2 linked regions of the Lepisosteus oculatus genome follow. The protein of the gene in region 1 interacts with the protein of each later gene in a pairwise test. Links are inferred from orthologs where the notes say so. Each region holds a gene or a part of one and is shown in the gene's direction. Other genes may lie near its edges.

Evidence for each region.
Region 2: the proteins of egfra (region 1) and ptpra interact in binary tests that used the Homo sapiens proteins (3 or more experiments, as listed by UniProt). The link is inferred for Lepisosteus oculatus from reciprocal best matches to the Homo sapiens genes EGFR and PTPRA.

Annotation. Positions count from the first base shown.
Region 1 is NC_090701.1:19,950,159-19,960,609, forward strand, and holds the start of egfra (epidermal growth factor receptor), read left to right. Parts: upstream 1-5,858; 5' UTR 5,859-6,216; coding exon 6,217-6,289; intron 6,290-10,451. UniProt on the Homo sapiens protein: Receptor tyrosine kinase binding ligands of the EGF family and activating several signaling cascades to convert extracellular cues into appropriate cellular responses.
Region 2 is NC_090698.1:74,842,363-74,852,923, reverse strand, and holds the start of ptpra (receptor-type tyrosine-protein phosphatase alpha), read left to right. Parts: upstream 1-6,256; 5' UTR 6,257-6,567; intron 6,568-10,561. Other genes in the region: dedicator of cytokinesis protein 2-like, read right to left, coding at 523-565. UniProt on the Homo sapiens protein: Tyrosine protein phosphatase which is involved in integrin-mediated focal adhesion formation.

The DNA of each region.
Region 1 (10,451 bases):
GTGCTTGTAGGAATGCGGTTCATGACAGGATAAAGCAGTTAGAAAATGGATGGATGCCTGCCGTAGTTTATTGATCAGCAGGGCATTTCTTGAAAGATCTCAAAGAATGATCTTGAATACCCTGATGGGAAAACCAGTTCTAGATACCCAGCAAACTTTGCCTTAAGAGGTGCTTCCTGGTCTTATTCCACCTGTACACACACTTCCACTTTCATTTACATCCTCAGGTTCACATTTCAAACCTTATCTTAACAGTATTTTTGGCCATTCTCTCAAGGACCTTGTAGATTCCTGTTTGGAATCAGAGACATCACGTTTTAATCTGTGTATAACATGACTCTCAGGTAAGAAAGTTACCCAGGAGTCTTGAACTTGAATCTGGTCCCTCTTGAGCTCCTTCCAGAATGAGTTCAATGAGGTTGGGCTTGAGTACTACAAAATTGTAGCATATTCACATGTGATTTAAAGTTTGCACATTGTACTATATATCCTTGCATAGGAGTGACATATATTGAAGGATAGGATATATTGAAGGACTTAATAAGAAATAATTATCTATGCCTATTTGAAAAATATTGAACCCATATAAGGAATTAACTGTAATTTTTCATTTAAAAAATAACATTGCTCAGTCTAAGCATGATCATTTATGACTGCTTTAAATAAATTAATTCAGTTACATACAGTATTGATAGAAATATATCCTAATTTCAAACTAAAATAAAGATTTTAAAAAAAGAACACACTTTTAAATAAGAAAGTGGCAAAGCATTTGCTTCCATGGTAACTTTCCAATAAAATGTATCTGCTAATGGAGTGAATTCCATGGTGACATGTTTGTTTTGAAGCTGTATAGTGTGTTACCAACCAAGTAGAGACCTGTTTCATGATTACATCAATAACGTGCCATTACCTGACATAATAGTGAACTGTTTTAACAGGCAAAGTGTTTACATTACACTTCAATAAAATATTCAGTATTAGGCTCATATAAACTTATATATTTTCTTCTATGGTTGTATATCAGCCATAACATAATTTGTTCTCAAAGTAGATAAAGTACTAAAATAGACAGGGCAGCTGGGAGATTGTGGCTTCCTAATTATTTCTCTCTGGATGTAGCTGTTATCCAATGTTGTGATTGAAGTTATTGAATTGACTCACCAATATAGGGGTTTTATGGTTATCATTTCTTTATTTTATCTTTTATTATTCATTTCAGAATGATTTATTTTATTAATTTAAAAATTAATTACTTTTGTCACACAATTAAGAATCCGTTCATTTAAGTGGTATGTATGCATAGCTACTGTAATTCCAGAGGTGAACTATACTTCCTGCTTTAATAGTAGCTGTGTGGTCATTATTTAAATACGAAATTTAAAAAGATTAATGGAAAAGCTACTTATCCATAAGTACAGACTTCATGCTTATATTGAAAAATTAATTCAAATACAAACTGGTGATTGAATGCCCAGGTCCAAAGATTTCTGATAAAAAGACAATACTGTACATATTTTTAAATGGTACAAAAGTATTTCAGTTACACCAGTGAAATAAATATCTCTGGCTTGTGTGAATATTACAATTTAACTGAATTGTATTGTGTACTTTATAGTTCAATGGATGTTAAAATTTTGTTTTAGTATTGAAGAGGTCCTTTCTATGTGATATATGCATTTATAATGAAAGACAGTTTGACATTTTTGATACAGTATATTGAAAATTAGGGAAAATAAAGGTGTATTTGTGTGTGAAGGGAACAATACTGTTATGTTGTTTAAAAATGTCACTTAACATTAAAAGTTGTAATTATACTAAATTATGCTCTTAAAATGTGGCAAAACAAAACATAAGAAGTACTTAGTTATAGGTTTATTCCATGCTGAAAAAAAGAAGAAAGAGAACACAACATTTCTGCCGTGGAGCCTTCTTCAGGTGTGAGAGAGACAGGGCAGTAGGCAAAGGTAAAGTAGCGGGAGAAGAAAGGTTGGGAGGGAGGAGGAGTGAGAGGCGGGAGCAGGGGACAGAAAGAGAGGCCAATCAAGAGGTGTGAAGTCAGAATGGGTGCAGAGAGGTGTGAAATGAAACTTCCAATGAATGGAGAAAATTTAAAAGAACAGTAGTCTGTCGTTAAGGGAAGGGAGAATGTGTGATCCTAGCTGCAGAATAATTTTAGTTTCGGTGGTCTTTCTGATGTATGAGTTTGGAAAACCGTCTTTGAGAACACAGACGGAGAGATTAGAGTGGTCGTGGCCGTCAGAGGTGAAATGAGAAACAATGGGCTTGGAGAGATCTTTAATCTTCACAGCCCTTATGTGTTCTCTGAAGCGGTCTCCGAGTCTCCTTCCTGTTTCTCCAATGTAGATGGCTGGGCATTTACTGCAAGAGATACAGTAAATAAGGTTGCTGGAGGTACAAGATGCTGTCTGGGTGATCCGGAACTGTCCTGAGGGGCCTTGAATGAGTGTGGTGTTGGCTGTGTACTTGCAGGTGATACAGCGGTACCATAAGAAGTACTTGATCAGTTCTCAAGTAATCCATATGTGAAAAGAAAATCAAATTGAAGACTAATCAAGAAGATTGTTATAAATATACAGTATGCAAATATACCCATAAAAAAGAAGTTGCTCCTCTCCTAAAGGTTAATAATTGATTACAAGTGTTACATTTTAGCTTATTTAGTTTTTTTAAGATTTGAAAAGTTCATACTTGCAGTACATAGTGTATAGCAGTCAAATACAATTACGTATATCAGTATACAGTATAAGATAAACTTTTTAAATGTTAAAAGTTTTATTAAACTATAATTTATATATATAAATTATAATTTTCTACCTATGTTTTGTTGACATAATAATAATAAAACATTGTTTGCTAGTTTCAATTTAGCTGTGAATGTATGTTTTATAGCTAATTTAATAAGACTGTCTCATTCTATTCCAAGAATAAAATTGTTTTACTTCACTCTGGATTAACAATAACTACTTAATTAGCATGGTGCCCTTGCCATTTGCATGTGCTGCTAACAATGATTATTTGCTCGTTTTTTCATTCAAGTTTGTTTCTCTTCGCTAAAGTCAGTGCATACGGTATCATTGCTTTAGTATCATTATTGTTTAGTTTCTTATAAATGAAATCAAAAGCCTAAATTCCTTTGCAAATGACTGCAAAGGTGTTTTGTTTCAGAAATTTTATATACAATTTAATTTCAGGGACATATTTATCAGTTGTATTAAGGACATGCAGCTCCACCTTCTAGTGCAAACTAAAGTTACAGTAGATGTAAATCTAAGGGGCTGAAAAAGCAGTTGTGTGTTCAAGATAACCCTCCCCAGTTCACTGTACACACTTGAAGCCAACTTGTGCTGTGTTAACCTATCCTATGATTTACATTGATATGCATACAAACATTCCAAAAGACGCAAAGCTCTGTAGTTGACGTCAGATTTTGCAGTGCATGCTGTACCTTGTTCTTTCATTCGTCTGTAGATTACTTTCAATTGTAACAATTCCTTTTGTGGATGATTAAAATATGCCTTTTGTAGTTCTCTTCTTAGTGGGGAAGGGGATCATACTGCAAGTTAAAAGTGTCTGCACTGCATCATTAAATGATGATGTCATTAAATGACATTTAAATGAACAATTTAAATGTGCAAATGTAAAGGATCAGAGTTAGCATTTGGATCTTGTTTTCATTATGGCAAATTACAGTACTACTGTATGGCAAAATTAGAATGTTTCTGTGTGCTCAATGAAAGGGACTTCTTTCTGTTTTTGTAAGGCAGACAACCTAAACTATGCCATAATGTACATCATTTCTTCATGAATGAATGACCAGAGGAAAAAAAATCCCAAACCAAATGTCCTGTGACTGCTTATATTAGATGTTGTACTGTAGTACATCAGAATAGAGTGATTCTTGAAGATACATTCTAAATAATTACTTTGTGTAATTTTGTCTGCTTCCTAAGGAAACAGCCCTCACAATTCATTGATATTATCATGGTGCTGGTTCTTTCATTGGCAGCAGTAAACAGTATTATTTTGATTCAACTGCATGCAATTGCAGTGAAATTAGCTTCTCATATTGGTACAAAGGCATCAGGAAAGGAAAACTTTCACAGAGACCTCATTTTTAAATTGATACTGTATTCTGTCTAACCAAGTTGTACTGTAGTTTTGTAGAAAATACTGTTAGAAATACTTTGTTAAAAATGTGTTATGCTCAATTGTGCCCCTGGCTGTAATCTGTAACAAACATAACACCTATTAAACCTTTTGTAGTGAAATCTCCATGTCTAGTTATTTATTCTGCATAAACATTGACACCTTTCCCATGTTAGATTAATGAGAACTCAAATTCGGTTGTGCACACTTGACTTCAAACAAGACCACATTTTTCTGAGTTATCAAGATTCAACCTAAAAACAATATTTGAAAGTGTAGCACAATACAGAACTCTCATATATACTATACAGTATATACTTTTAATGCTTTGTGGTTCTGTATTTTGCTGTGTGCATTTGGTCATGAAAGGGATTGGTAATTCTGGTCTGCAGAACCTCAGCCTACTGTATTCTTGGCCTTAAATAAGTTGGGATGCTTCAGCAGAGATCAGTCCAATATTGCCTATACTGTATGTTCCCCCACTTGGTTCATGTACAGTAATTGAACATGCCATGGCAGAGCTGCAAAAATGCAGAAGTTCATTTGCATTTCCCCAGCTATAGTATGCTAGTCTCTTATCTCTTGTCCCAGCTGCAAGTTACTGTATACCGTAAAGAAACTATATTCAGTGGTGGCTTGCAGAAGTTCCAGGTAAACCTCCTGTGCTGGGATGAGCACACCTGTGTGTGACTACTATGTGACAGCTATAAAGACCTGGATTGTGTGTGTGGGCAGGGCAATGCAGTGGGGGTTGGGGTAGAAATGCGAGTCCTCCAGAAGACAGGAGGGTGTGGTAGGACCTCCACTTTCCACAGTAGTTGACGAATGACACTGCATGGAATGAGAAGCTGTCTTTGTCTGGTTGCTCGGCTGTTGTACCCAGGCTGTGGAGATAACATCAGATGGTCTTCTCTGGGTGCCTGCACACGTTCTGCTACATTTGGACTACAATGTCAGGCTTGCTTTCCTTTCCACATTTTATAACTTGAAATGTCTGTTCTGTTGACTAGGAGAGCATACAGTACAGCAGAGGATGAACACATAAACACTTGTCACTCATTTGAGAGCAGACAGCTTCTTACACCTTATTCCAGTGGATCCTAAAGTATCGTTGAAAACGGCATTACTCGTGTTATGTTCCTGCTTGTTGAAAATGTTACTGTTCAAACTTGGGGGGGAAAAATCTACTGGTTTTCATCAGTTTCCTGTCTGTGAAATGGCTGCAGGCTTAAACATTTAACCTGCTACAGCAGGCACTTATGTGATTATGATGTGGCTTGAACTGCCTGTTTAAATCACAGTGGGTGTCTATTTAATTTACCTCTCTCTCTCTAGGTTGATTTGAGTAATATCCTCTCTACACAGACTTTGTCGAAGCCATTGTTTTATTGTTTGTTTAAGGATTTGGAAGCAACACTTTCACCACCAACAATAACAATAATAATAACACAACATGCGGATAAGTAAAACCACACTAAAGTGGTCATTTCCGTTACAAAAGTGATGTTTGTGAACAAACGGCATAACGTTTTACAGTATTCCTGAAGATCAATAATAAATTTCGCGAGTTCGAAACTGATAGCGCTTGCTTAGTACATGCTGGAGAATTACGAAATACCGGAAAGCAGTGAATTTCAACATCGCACAGAACATACCTGGCACAACTGCACATGAGCAGAAGTTGTGAATCATGTCAGTCGGCAGGATTTACTTTACCTGTTAATGCATTTATCTGCAGCGCAATAATCCCCCTCCCAGTGGTGACGTCAGAACCTCCGCTGGCTGAGAGACTTTATTCGGCTCAATTCTCGCCACAAGTAATTCAGGAGAACGAAGGAGGAGCTGTCAAAGTTTCTGTGCTAAGGAAAGAAAAGTAACGCCGCTGACGCCTTCCCAAAATTTCCTACTATTTCCCTTTGACAGCTAGAGAGGGAGAAAGTAGAGGCTTTATTCACCACACAAAATTTGTCAGTACCAGTATGGAATAAAAAAGAACATATTTGAAGGAGAAGAGAAGAAACGAAGAGCTCAAGAAAACTCGCAGCAATGCAATTCGAAATTGCGATCGTCCTGTCTTCCTTGCTCACTCTTGGCTGTTGCAGTATACAGGACAAGAGAGGTAAGTGAAAGAAAGATAACTTGTACAAGACCTTTCCTGAAGACATGCAACTGTTTGTTAATAGTAATTTAATGACCCGGGAGTAAAGTTTTAATACACTAAGCTTTGAAACAATCTCGTATTGCTTTGTTCGCGTTTGTATATCTGTAGTTTGTTCAAGATACAGAGGCAGCGTGGGAAACTGTAGTACCGGTACAGTGCTTCCTTGTTGCAGGAATGAGGAGTACAGCAGATTACTTCTTACCTTACACTAGAATTTGTTCTGCGTTTGTCGTATGAGTATCGAATTAACATCAGTGCAAAGCCTTAGGAAATAAAGAGGTACATATTATTATTATTATTATTATTATTATTATTATTATTATTATTATTATTATTATTATTATTATAGTTTCAAAAGACCTACAAGAATGGGATGCCCGCAAAGTGCAAGGCAACTGATAATCACAACAGGGAAAACTGATATGTTAACTTTTTTTACGGAGTGATTCTTATTTTAAATGAATAAATGCGTTCCTTAATGATCAGGCAAATGTTATTTCGTGGTATCTGGATGGATACGTTATGGTGTTTTAGAGAAATGTATTGCGTTGTAAGTCATTTAGTAATCGAGGAATGGAGAAGCGCTATTGTGGAGTATTATGCTGCAAAAGTGAAGGGAAACGTTAAGTATTTCAGTATTTGCGGACTTAAATAATAGCGAACTATATGAAATGAAGTTAATCATCTACTGTATTTTACAAGAAGACGTCGCACAGGTATATACAGTAGTCAAACAAGCATCAGTGCCAGTGTACAATGTATAAAACAAAGATTCCTTCATGTCCAATTTCAAAATCACATTTTTAATAAAATGGGTAAGACAAAGTCATTCTGTTTACGATGTCATACAAAACATATCCAGATCATTCGTGAACAAATATCTCGCAATAAAATAGGTGGCACGACGACTACTACAAACCACCGAATAAACCAGCAGGTTGAAGTGTTCCGAGTGCCCAGTCATCTCGTCCTGAAATCGAAAGTACAGTAATTCTCAGAAAAGATAAAGCACACCAAAAGCAAATGCAATGCCAATTATACGTTTTATCTGTGTTTGAAAACTTTAAATTGGTATCATTTTCGTATTGTCCATCAACTCTTTGAGTGTAACAAGATCTTCATTGTTAGAGGCTGGCAGAATCCACAGTAAGGGGAGTAGTAGGTCAAACGCTACTGTGCCAGTATAAAGTCAATGGCACATCTGTCTGCTGATCCGAAAAAAAAAAACCCCGCTTGAAATTCTGAGAGTTCTCTATAGTCAATATACAGGAAAAGTAAATAATGCAGGAAATTTGTTTTAGTGGTAGAATTTCTTAAATTTAAAGGCAATATTGGTTTCTCGGATCGGTAGGATTAGTTAAAACCAAGTGGAGACATCAGCCCCGCAGGATTCCTCTTTCGAAGTCTTGTTGATGAACTAGAGCACTTAACTGCGCAAACCTTGTGCCTGCGACGTGCAAAATAGATAAAACATGTACTTTAAGGATTTTTTTTTCAGAGAAGAGAAATAGCACAGAAGTTTACTAAACATTTACTTAAAATGCGCATCATATTATGCAAAATATAGTATTAATAATGTTAAAACCGCTTTCTTTCAAGGTCTATTTGATTTTATTGTATAAACACTATTTCAAAAACAGGGTTATCAGAGTCTTAAGTGTTATGTCATTTGAGATAGAGAAGAGATAGGAGTCAAAGTTTTCCTTCCTGAATCCCAGTGGAATAATGCTTTAGTTGAATGACAAGTTGATAAGGTTATGGTTAGCACTGCTGCCTCGCAGGTCCTGGGTTGTAGGTTCAGTGTCTGGAGTGTGGTGCCTTCTGTGTGGAGTTTGCATGCTTGCCCTGTGTTTTTGTGTGGCTTTTCTAGGTGTTCCATCTTCCTCCTTTCAAATGCAAGCCGACTCGGTTAACTAATGTCTCAATGGACTGGCATTGTGTCCTGCCTTGCAGCCTGTTTTTCTAGTCTAGGGTAGTCTCTGAGTTTCCATTATGAGAATAAAAGCTTTTCTGATAACAACTGAACGGTGAGGTAATGTGCCTCTTTTTTGAGGTGACCTGAAGTGATGTAAACATGAAGAAAGTTATTTATATAATATAAACACAGTACAAATTGTGCCTTTTTATACATGAGATTAGGAGGAAGTTTAAAACCTGATGTCCTTTTTACATGATCAAAAAACTCTACCATTCCTTCAGTTTGATTCTACTTGCTATAAATTCCACAAGTGGCTAGCAAAACAGCTAATTTCTAGAGAAACTGTGTTTTTTTGTTTTAGGTAACTTTTCTAAACCTTTGTACAGTATTTTCCTTCATGTGCTGTACTCCCATTTGTCTTTTCAGACTCTGAAGATGTATTTCACAGCATGCAAGTAACCTGTTAAAACAATGACAATGCGTGTTGTTTTCTCTAAAATTAAATTCTAGGCAGAGAGTGATTTTTGGGTTTGTTACTGAGTACACGGGCCAATTCTCTCTGGTGAACAGTTGGGAGATGTCTGTGTTTCGGGTTGTCTCAGTGCGCTCTGTGTTGCCAGTTTGGGCAGATGGATGGCAGATCGAGTAAGACCATTCCAGTCAAGAAAGCCCCTTGTTTCTCTGCAGGGTCAAAGCTCATGGTGGGGGACAGTCTGAAATTCTAGGTAGCTTTGGCTTCAGTAGATCGATGTCTGACAGTCTTTGTATGTGACTTTTTGGTGACTGGAATCCCTGCCCATGACGAACACATGGTGAACACATGAAGAACACAGGGTCTTTTCCAGCATCTGTTTGCTGCCTTGAGCCTCTGTGGCTTCAGTAGGTTGATGAAATAGGATGTTGCTTGTGTTAGGTACCACTTCTAAAAGATTGACAAACGAAGATTTAAATTAAGTATCCACACAAAAATCTCTCTAATGTTCGACACCTTTTTCTCTTTTGTGATCATCACAGATTTGCACCCTTTTGTGCTTTGGTTTAATTAAGTTTTTTGTTATGTGTTTTATGAAGCTACAGTAAAGCTGCCAAAAAAGATAAAATATGATTTCTTTTCAATTAACAGAGGTGTGCATATAGTATGTTATCAAGGAGGAGTCAGAAGAAAGTTTAAGGCATTCTATGTCTACAGAAATTGTTTTATTTTATTAAATAAAATTGACTTTTATATTATTGTTAGAGAGATGATATGGCATATTTAAGGTATTTGAATGTGTCGGCTCAAACAATGAAAAGTCAAGTCTGTTGCCAACATGAACAGGCAGCCGTTACTATCAAATTGAATGATAATGTTTCCTTTAAGTTGACATTTGTCATCAAAGTTTTATCATCCCAATGTGTAATCAGTTTCATTTTCACAAGCTTGTCTGTTTATTCCTGGTAAACTCTATGATTGTGAAATTAACATGCTGCCCAAATGCCTCTCTACATGAAGCACAGGTTACCTGTGCAAGTTTAGTGTTTCATAAGCAAATATTATACTATATATTATAGTTTGTAGTGTAACTTTTTCCTGTTGTAAGATGGGTTTAAGAGACAGTTAAGTTGGTATTGTCAGTAAACAAAAAATGTAAAAGGTCAAAACAATGTAACATAGTTTCTTATTGCTATTAGAAATATTAAGCTTTTTTTTCTGAATTAACTCGGTCCATTCTTTGTGTCTTGCGGTAAATAGAATAAATTGATTGGAGCCTTGAAACATGTCCTCAGCACTATTTAAGACAGACTGCATTAGATATAAAGCTATAGTATGTAATATTTAGAAGTGTAGAATAAACAACTTTCTGAACATGTAAAAGACATTTACTAGATGTTAGATGATAGATGTTTGCAAGTAATTCAGAAAAAAAATGTAGTAAAAAACATTATTTTACCAAGACATTCTTTACTATTTTGTTGCCTAATCAATGATTATCAAATTACCTACAGTAACAATGTGTTGTAATGTGTTCTGTTTTGTCTAGTTACTGGCCTATCACACCTCATTACAGGAATTTGTTTTTGCTTTTGTATTTAAAGTTACAGTTTTCGGATTGTGATTTTATGTCATCAGAGACTTTACAGGCATCAATCACAATTATTGTGCATCAGCCAATTTCAAGTTATTAATTCAGTGGTGCTGTACTCATGAATTTGTAGTTTTCA
Region 2 (10,561 bases), on another chromosome or scaffold:
TGCCTGCCGCACTCAGTAGCTTTCTGACAGGGATTGGAGCAGGGCTGTGTGGCTCAGGCTGGAGCAGCAGCTGCTCGCTGGGGCAGAGAAGGGCCACTCAGCCCAGGTGCCCCTGCAGCCCCGCCAGACCTGTGGACAGGGGGAGAATCTACTGTATAACTGCCCTGCAGCCCCGCCAGCCCTGTGCACAGGGGGAGAATCTACTGTATAACTGCCTTGCAGCCCCCCCAGCCCTGTGGACAGGGGGAGAATCTACTGTATAACTGCCCTGCAGCCCCCCCAGCCCTGTGGACAGGGGGAGAATCTACTGTATAACTGCCCTGCAGCCCCGCCAGCCCTGTGGACAGGGGGAGAAGCTATAACTCTAACAGTCAGTTCAGAAAGCTTCGCAACATGTGACTTATCCATCAGTTTTACTTCTTTAAAAATCAATTGTATCTGTTCCTGTAACACAACACCTTTCAGCTGCAGTGAAGTGAAAGAGAGAGAGGAGGGCGAGTTGCAGGGAAGCTGGCCACTTACCCACTCCATATTTCTCCTTGGTAGTGAGGGTCCAGGGAGCCATCTCTGCTGCTGCTGTTACTGCCTAGCACTCCTGACCTCCAGTGCTGTCTCACCCTCTCACTGTCACTCCCCAGCACTCCTGAGCTCCAGTGCTGTCTCACTCTCTTGCCTTCACTCCCCAGCACTCCTGAGCTCCAGTGCTGTCTCACTTTCTCCACTCCTGCCCTCCTGAGCTCCAGTTCTGTCTCACTCTCTCGCTGTCACTCCCCAGCACTCCTGAGTTCCAGTGCTGTCTCACTCTCTCCACTCCTGCACTCCTGAACTCCAGTGCTGTCTCACTCTCTCCACTCCTGCACTCCTGAGCTCCAGTGCTGTCTCACTCTCTCGGTCACTCCTGCACCCCTGAACTCCAGTGCTGTCTCACTCCCCAGCACTCCTGAGCTCCAGGCTGTCTCTCCGGTGGCTCTGTCGCTGTCAAGCTGCCTGTGTTCGCCTCGTGCTAATGAGGAAACCAGTATGTGTGGCGTGTGTGACCTGGGCTTGGTTCCTGAAAACCACTGACACACAGACGCGCTGAGAGAGAGAGGCTGCAGAGATCGGCAGTACACACCGCGTCTGGTAATGCTGCAGAGAGTCCAGCCCCCTCCTCTCCCTCGGGGGGCGGGCAGGGGGCGAGTAGGGGGCGGGCAGGGAGCAGGCAGGGGGCAGTGGGTAGGTAAGGGGCAGGGGGCAGGCAGGGAGCAGACAGAGGGCAGGTAGGGGGCAGGTAGGGGGCAGGAAGGGGATGAGCAGGGGGCTGGGGCAGGTAGGTGGCAGGGGGCAGGAAGGGGATGCGCAGGGGGTAGGTGGGGGGCAGGTAGGGGGCAGGGGGCAAGCAGGGACACACCGTCAGCAGAGGGGGATGCAGACAGACACCTGACACACTGGGACCGAGGCGCTCAGAGCAGCAGGGAAGTGCTTTACTACAGTACTTTGCTCCGATCACTCCTGTGACTAGCGGGTGATCCACGCCCAGGGGATCCTCACTCGATTACGCTGAGTCAGGGAGGCCCTCAGCGATGCCATGACAACAGGAACTGCAAACTCTGCTCAACTCCCCCAGGTCCTGAGGGCACACCTGTACACATACCTTCTGCTCTGTGTTTACAGCCCACTGCCCCGGGGCTGCTGCCCCTGAGCTGGAGAGACCTCTGGAGAAGGGAAGGTAACAGCGTCCTGCCAGTCCGCCCGTTCCTTCTGTACCTCTACCGTCAAAGCGCTGGTGTCCAGCGCCACCTTCTGGTGTCAAAAGGTCATTGCAACAGAGCTTACAAGCTGCACTTCCAGGGTCAAGGGGGAGTGAGAAGAGAGAGAGGGACTCGTACAGCAGAGAGAAATATCTGCATTTCACTGAGTAGAGCAGAAGAATTTACTGCCAATTGTACACGTGCATTGGAGTTCTTCATCACGCTGATCTTTCGGGACATAAACAGTACAACAGACAACACCACACAATGTAGACAGCAGGAACAATGAATATGTAGTAGTGAGACAAAAATAAACATAGTAGAGCATGCAAAAACTGTGGAGTGCATCTGTGTATTGAGTCTGAGGCCCTGCAGTTAGCTGGTGAGGATGCGCACAGTGGTGGGACAGAAGCTGTTGTTGAGTCTGGTGGGCCGTGCTTTAACAGTGTGGTACCGCTCGCCAGAGCCCAGGGGGAGAACAGTCTGTGGCCGGGATGGCTGGGATCCTGAATGATGGATCCGGCTTGATTGCAGACAAGCATGAGTGTGAGTGTGAAAGTCAGTAGAAGGTGGGGGATGTATCTGGACTTCCTGGAGGCCCGTGTGAAGGGTCTGCTCTCGGGTGGAAGTTTCACCCAGCAGGGCTCAGGAGGGGGTGCAGCCAGGAGCCCTGGGTTGCAGAGCTGACGCAGGTGTCTGCATGATGAGAACATTATACTTGAGAATGACACAGAACAAACGGTGAAGAAACACAGGAGAGCAAACATGGCTTGGAAGCTGAAAGGGGGCCGGTGCGGTGGCTCAGGATCTCAGTAGATCATCAATGTCTGAACAGACTCAGGTCGGACTGACACCCAAAACACCAAGTGATTTAAGTGATTAAGATTTAACTTTGTTGCTGTTTGATCGGAATCTTCACCTAGCTCCTGACAACACTAATATCACTCCACGTCTCCTCACTACGCACCTAAAGACTTCAAGAAGTATTGGTTGGGAGTCGTATTAAAGTCATTTTAAACGTTCCCAGAAGACAGACGTACACTCTCTTCACACAGGCTGTCGGTTGTCTGAACAGCAATATTATAGTACAGTTGCTTTATTCCTCCCTTCAATGCAGGCAGAAGAGAGGGGGGTAAAATAGATTTAGTTTGGGTGCACTGAAGTGACTTTTTCCTGTCAACAACCACAGCCTGCAGGTGTTCAATGAAAGGCTTGGCCTACTTCTCCAGCAGATTAGACAGCGGGATAAATGGGGCACCTTAATCCTAAATGTTTCTCCATTCCATTTACATCTGGATACTAGCCTGCTGAGTCTGTTGTTAAAAAAATCTGTTTGGTGTGATATTGGGAGTGTGAAAAGGTATAAAACGTTTGGCAGTACAGTACAGTACATACAACCTGGCACAGTTTGCCCGGCCAAGCAGTGATACAGGCAGATATTTCCACTTCGCTGTCTGCAGTCACAGCTTCAGCTTTTCCAGCGTGGGATGTCATCTGGAGAGAAATACCAGGCCGTTGTCGGCTTGCTTAGTAACTCCAGAATATTCTCTGGGATCCAGACGAAGGGAGGACTGGCGTGAGGCCAATCCATATTGCTCCCAAGAAATGGACAGAACTGGCAAGGAGGAGCTGAAATTAATAAAGTATATCATTGCGGCATCCGCATATTGTGAGATCACACGTGGGGATCCACCGGCTCCAAGGCCATGAATGGTGCAGTGAGACCTGATCGCGCTTGCTAGGGGCTCAGCCGCCAGGGCCAGAAGCAGAGGAGACAAGGGACCAACCTGTCCAGGTGCTCCTGACAAGGTGACACACCTGAATCGGTCTGACTGCTGCAACTGGACATTGGTGTATCGTGGCAAACGGATCATATTGAAGAATTTAGAGCCGAGGTTCATCCTTTGCAGAACAGAGATGGAGTAAAACAATCCCACTCAGTCGAAAACATCTTCTACTCCAACTAGAATGCTACAACTGGGAAGCCAACTTGTTTAGCACTGAATATAACGTTCGAACTCTTCAATCTTGTAGTGTCTGGATTCAAGGACTGAATCCCCACTGGAGACAAACGTGACCCAGATAACTAAAGAATAAAGAATCAGGATTCACCTGGAAGTTTCAGTGTGGAGTGAAAGCTGGTGAAGACTGAGAACTGGAGGTGACAGATAACTGGGTTGAACTCTGAAGTGCCAGGTGACTAATGAAGAAGGAGTGTATTGTCAGAGAGAGTGAAGTGTGGGGTCTCCTCACAGGACTAGGATTGCACTAAATGGGACCAACACCATATAAAAGCCCCGCACACAGAGCTCTGTAAAAACAGAGAAACCACCTAATGATGCATGCAGGACCAATTTAGGACAATGGCCATTGTTAATGAATTGACATAAAAACAATAAAATATTGGTTTCACCTAAAAAGTAGTGACCTGAGCTCCTACCACCACAGGCCCTGCTTAGCCCAGTTAAGATCCCCTCAGCCAGCTGGTCCTGAAGCTCACTGACACTTACTAACCTTCTGACAGTGCAACAGAAACAACATTAATAAAAATCAGCCAAAACACAGCACAAACCAAACAACACTACCTTAACACACACAACACAGACTGGAATGCTACAGGACTGTAAACAGACAACAAACGCCAGCAGAATGTTTGACCAAGCTAAATAACAGCAAAAAGAAACAGACCCTAATGAAGTACAGGCTCAGTGACCACAGCCTGGCCATAGAAACTGGGCGACACAGGCAGACCTGGCTGTCCAGAGAGGACAGGCTGTGCTCCCACTGTAGAGACAGGTGCACTTCCTACTGCACTGTGACAGATACTCTGGGATTAGAGAAACATTCTTCCTGAAATTCAGAAATCTAATCCCAGAGTTCCCACACCTGCCAGAGTCACAACGGGTCCCAATCCTACTGGGAGAGGGAGGAGGGAACTCAGTTGATCTGGCAGCCCAGTATGTGATCTCCTGTCCCAGCCTGAGGAACAGTAAACCTGTCTCTCAATATTGCTCAATATGTTTTATTTGATATCTGTAAACATCCAGTAATATTTTTGTTGTAAATGTTCCTGAATGTGTTAATTATTTCTGGCAATGCTATAATTCATTGGTCTGAATTTGCACTACCCTGACAGCACCCTTCCCTGAGTGGAATCTCACTCCCTCAGACTGCTGTTTACTCACACAGGCCAGCTGGGCCTCGTTCTGCAGCTTTTTCAATTAACAGGTGGCTCTCTCTCTGCCTCACGCGTGAGTGGAGTGAAAGGTGCTTTTTAATGACCGAACAAAAACTTGGGATGTAATTAGCATGCATTTAGAGCAAGTCACCTCTGTACCATACCTATGGATTATAGGGCTGGTCATCTGTGTGTTTTCTCCTGGTAGTCTGCCTGCAATGTCTCCAGTCTACCACCAGAGGAAAGCAAACTGCGCTGAACAGTCCCTGCAGTCTGAGCCACGCTGACACAGTCCAATCAGCTCCCACCCTGCCCAGCACACAGGTCGCTGGTCTTCTCCCCTGAGGCCAAGCTGGAGGTCCTGCTGCAGACGAGGGGCTCACTGCCCAGAGATGGGCCCTGCCGGGACTCAGCCCCGCTGTGCTCAGCACTTGACGTCACGCAGACCAGCTCTCCTTTGAGTGAAACACACCTGGCCCTCATCACCTGCCAGCAGGCAGAACCAGTCCAGACACTGCAGGGCATAATTGTGGACTTTCTGAACTGAGAAAATGAGATAACGAAGACTGTCTGGGGACTATTTTCAGTTCACCCACTATGTGTACACCAACTGTATGTGACTGCATGTTGGCTATTGCATAGACTTGACTCTCTGCAGTTTCTCTTAATTCACCTGCTGCAGCAGTTTCTCCCTAATTCCCTGAAGCTGTGTGCAGTGGGGCTGCTGGTGCAGAATGATCCCTGTGTGTCTCCCAGGTGGGGCTGCTGGTGCAGAATGATCCCTGTGTGTCTCTCAGGTGGGGCTGCTGGTGCAGAATGATCCCTGTGTGTCTCCCAGGTGGGGCTGCTGGTGCAGAATGATCCCTGTGTGTCTCTCAGGTGGGGCTGCTGGTGCAGAATGATCCCTGTGTGTCTCCCAGGTGGGGCTGCTGGTGCAGAATGATCCCCGTGTGTCTCCCAGGTGGGGCTGCTGGTGCAGAATGATCCCTGTGTGTCTCCCAGGTGGGGCTGCTGGTGCAGAATGGCCGCTGTGTGTCTCCCAGGTGGGGCTGCTGGTGCAGAATGATCCCTGTGTGTCTCCCAGGTGGGGCTGCTGGTGCAGAATGGCCGCTGTGTGTCTCCCAGGTGGGGCTGCTTGTGCAGAATGATCCCTGTGTGTCTCCCAGGTTGGGCTGCAGGTGCAGAATGGCCACCGTGTGTCTCACCCTCTGAAGCGCAGCCCCTCCTGTATGAAACGTGCGTTGGAACGGAGGGAACTCCATGTACTTTTTTTTGTCGTCGCTCAGCGGCTCATTGCTCATATTTCCCAGCAGGGGGCGCCGGTGTTCCGCAGCGGCTCGGCGGAGGAGGGGCCGGGGATCCACTGGCCCCCATTCCCGACACAGGGACGCAACATGGCGGAGTAGGAGCTGCGACTGGCTTTCCCGGATACAGCAAGCAGGAATTACAATCACACGCAGAACAGGACAGAAGCCCGCGGCGGCCGGAGACTGGACTCCCGGGGTTGAGGCACCGTTAAGAGCCCCCCAGCTCGCCCCCGTGGTGTACGGCGTGATCCCCGACCCCAGTCGCGCTGGGGTGTGGAGAGAGGGGCTGGGGAGAGAGGAGCGATCCGGGGGAAGAGCAGGGAAGCCAGCCTGAATTTCTGGGGCGAGAGCGGTAAGTTGGGTGTTTCTTTTTAAAAAACAAACCCCAATATGATCCTGCTCTGTGGTTTGGCTTCTCTCCGGGGACTCGCTGACGCGCAGGACGAGAGCGGGTTTATGTAACTCCGGTCCTTGCGCGCAGGGAACGCACCCAATTCTGTTGTCTGGAGAATCACATTCCCGGTATTAGCTGGGAGGCAGGGAGGGAGGCTGAGAGAGAGGGAGGGAGGGCCGGAGCTGGGCTCCGCAGCGCGGACACACTGTAACCAGACCGGCGCTGGAGACCTGCGGTGAGCACAGCGGCGCTTTGTTATCGCCGGGGAGGAGGAGGGGGAGTCGATTTGCGAGCAGAGGGATGGATGCGTGCGTGGGGAGCGTCGCGAGGAGAAAGATGGAAGCGTGCGTGGGGAGGGTCGCGAGCTGTGGGGTCGGGGGGAAGGAAGGGGTTCAGCTCTCTTCTCCCGGACAGTTCTCGCCCCCGCCCCCCTCTCACTCCCCTGTGGTGCCCGGGCAGGCAGAGTCGGACCCTGATGCCGCCGCAGAGCTCGCAGCAGATGAATATTGTCGCCCGTAACCCGATCTCGATGTCGCGTCGCGCGTGTAGCGATGGCGGTGTTGACACAACACGGCTGGCGGGGGCAGAGGCATGCGGCCGCTGTCTCCCGGCCGGGCCGGGCCGCCAGGCTGCGCGCACCGCTTGCGAGAGCAGTCTGTTTAGCCCTCTGTCCTGTCAGGATTGCTCTTGCGCCTCAGTAGTGACGGGGGCGTGGGCTGTCACCTGGAGTGGAGGGGGTCTTGGGCAGCAGACCCCTGCTGGCCAGTGCGGCGATCCAGCTGCTGTGAGGTGGCCCCGTGCGCCGTCTCTGGGGGTCTGTCCCAGTGCCTGAGGACACAGTGAACCAGGACGGACAGAGCAGCGCAGGGGCTCATCGGCAAGCAACCCCTCAGCGCCGCCCTTCGCTCTCCTGGGCCCCTCTGGTTCTGTCCAGTATCCCTTGCTCGACAGGCGTGAGTGGGAGTGGGAGAGCTGCGCTGCTGTGCAGGAAAGGCCTCGGGGAATCCCGCCTGACTCCTGGCGCTCCAAAGCCCCTCTCCTGAGCTGTCGGAGCCTTGTTGACCTTCACCCAGCATCTGAGGAGTTCAGCTCCTCAGCCTCCATCCCACCTGGACAGCTTGTCCCCTCTGCCTGGGCAGTGCCGGGATCTGGTCCAGTCAGCTCGTCCCCTCTGCCTGGGCAGTGCTGGGATCTGGTCCGGTCAGCTCGTCCCCTCTCCACGCGGTGCTGGGATCTGGTCCGGTCAGGTCGTCCCCTCTGCATGCGGTGCTGGGATCTGGTCCGGTCAGCTCGTCTGCTCTGCCTGGGCCGTGCTGGGACTGGCTTTAGAGCGAAGAGCTGTGCAGAAGCTCAAGGCGCTACTGGGAACAAGGCCACAGGCTGTGGCGTGCATGGAGAAGTGTGCTCTGACCAGAGCCCAGCCGAGGAGGACCAGGCGTCTCCCCTCCTGCACCCCTGAGGAGCGGGGCTGGGTGCAGTCCAGCCGCACCAGAGAGACTGACTGACTTCAAGGTGTGTTTGTGAGCCAGCTCTCAGGACCACAGGAGTTGAAGGATTGCCACCGGCTCTCGGATTTATAAAGCACTGAGAAACGAGCCATTCGGCCCATCTGGCCTGTGCAGCAGGATCTCATCCAGCCATTTCTTGAAGGATGTCAGAGAATCATCTCCAGCAGCAGGGTTGGGTAACTTGTTCCAGACTCCCACCACTCTTTGAGTACAGAAGTGCACAAGACTGCTGCCTCTAGTGTAATTTGATCTGTGATTCCATGCAGGGCCTGATGCAGAAGGCTGATGCTTATTCTCAGTGGCCTTACATGCTGGTTTTAATTTAGCAATGGCTGTGTACAGCTGCCCAGCTGCGCAGGGCGTGAGCGCGGCTGTTCTGCAGACCTGCCCAGCTGCGCAGACCTCCTGAAGATTGTGACAGCTGAGCAGTGTGTCTGTGTCTGTAAGAGTGCTGGTGTGTTATGACAAAACCTTGCTACTGGTGCCAGACCAGCAATTAGTAATCAGACCTGTAATTAAGGGCTTTGTTGTGTGCAGCAGGAAGTCACAGCACTGAGATGAGCGTGTGCTGATGAGTGTGGAAAATACTGGTGGACTGTGGTATGGAAGCAGCCAGAGCTGACATTCTCGGACCCGGACCCTGTTCTCGAGTGGCACTAGAACGGCGCTGGACTCAGGGGGATCTGTTCTGGAGCGGCGCTGGGGGGAGGGGGCTCTGTTCTCGAGCGGCGCTGGGGCGGGGGGCTCTGTTCTCGAGCGGCGTTGGGGCGGGGGGCTCTGTTCTGGAGCGGCGCTGGGGCGGGGGGCTCTGTTCTGGAGCGGCGCTGGGGGCGGGGGGCTCTGTTCTCGAGCGGCGCTGGGGCAGGGGCTCTGTTCTGGAGCGGCGCTGGGGCGGGGGGCTCTGTTCTGGAGCGGCGCTGGGGCGGGGGGCTCTGTTCTGGAGCGGCGCTGGGGGAGGGGGGCTCTGTTCTGGAGCGGCGCTGGGGGAGGGGGGCTCTGTTCTCGAGCGGCGCTGGGGGAGGGGGGCTCTGTTCTCGAGCGGCGCTGGGGGAGGGGGGCTCTGTTCTCGAGCGGCGCTGGGGGCGGGGGCTCTGTTCTCGAGCGGCGCTGGGGCGGGGGGCTCTGTTCTGGAGCGGCGCTGGGGGAGGGGGGCTCTGTTCTCGAGCGGCGCTGGGGCGGGGGGCTCTGTTCTGGAGCGGCGCTGGGGGAGGGGGGCTCTGTTCTGGAGCGGCGCTGGGGGAGGGGGGCTCTGTTCTCGAGCGGCGCTGGGGGAGGGGGGCTCTGTTCTCGAGCGGCGCTGGGGGCGGGGGCTCTGTTCTCGAGCGGCGCTGGGGCGGGGGGCTCTGTTCTGGAGCGGCGCTGGGGGAGGGGGGCTCTGTTCTCGAGCGGCGCTGGGGGAGGGGGGCTCTGTTCTCGAGCGGCGCTGGGGCGGGGGGCTCTGTTCTGGAGCGGCGCTGGGGGCGGGGGCTCTGTTCTCGAGCGGCGCTGGGGGCGGGGGCTCTGTTCTCGAGCGGCGCTGGGGGTGGGGGGCTCTGTTCTCGAGCGGCGCTGGGGGCGGGGGGCTCTGTTCTCTGTTCTGTTTTTAAGTTTTAACTTAAGTCACTATTGACTGTGTGAGATGGGTGAGCAGGTGGTGTAGCCTGCCTGCCTGTGTGGCTTGTATTGCAAAAGTGACTTCGTTAAAGGAAGAGTTTCAAAACTCCATCCGACACAGAGCAGAGATCTGTATCTCTGTGTTTCGTCAGAAAGACAGCATTGCCCAGCCTCCTCCTGGCAGGGCCCCAGTGGGGTATCACTCCTCCTGGTACCCCACTCCTCCTGAGAGGGTATCACTCCTCCTGGCAGTGCCCACAGTGAGGCTCAGAGTGACTCCCCAGTCCTGCAGGGGGTCCCCTCCTGTGTGTGAAATCCTTTGGCTATTGTTCTCTGCAGGTCCTGGTTCACTGTTACTGAGCACCAGGTCACACCTACTGCAGCACACTGAGCAGGAGCAAAGGAGGAACGACTGGTGAGACCAAATAGCTGAACTAGCCAGTGTAGTTTATCCCAGCTTGCTCCAGACCCTCACAACCCTTTGTGTAAAGCACTGCCAGTTCTCAGTTTAAAATTCTCCTCCAAGTACTTTTCAGATGTTGGAGTTTCACTGCTGGTTCTGAGGACACCCGCAGGATGGACTTCAGTGCCTTTGCGGTCCCCTCTTGGTTTGCTCTGTTCAAGACTAGAAAGGCCCAGTCCTTCAGCCTGGCACTGTGGGACTTGAAGCTCAGGAATGTGTGGGACTGTGGAGCTGCAGTGTCTTTCCGGCAGCAGAGTGACCAGAGCTGTGCTGTGAGCCGCAGGCTCTGTCTCTGGTCAGACTTTTTCCTGCTCGAATGCTTTGCCAGCAGTGAAGAAGGGTCACTCACAGTGGACGGTGAGGACGTGGAGGAATGGTCACAGGACTG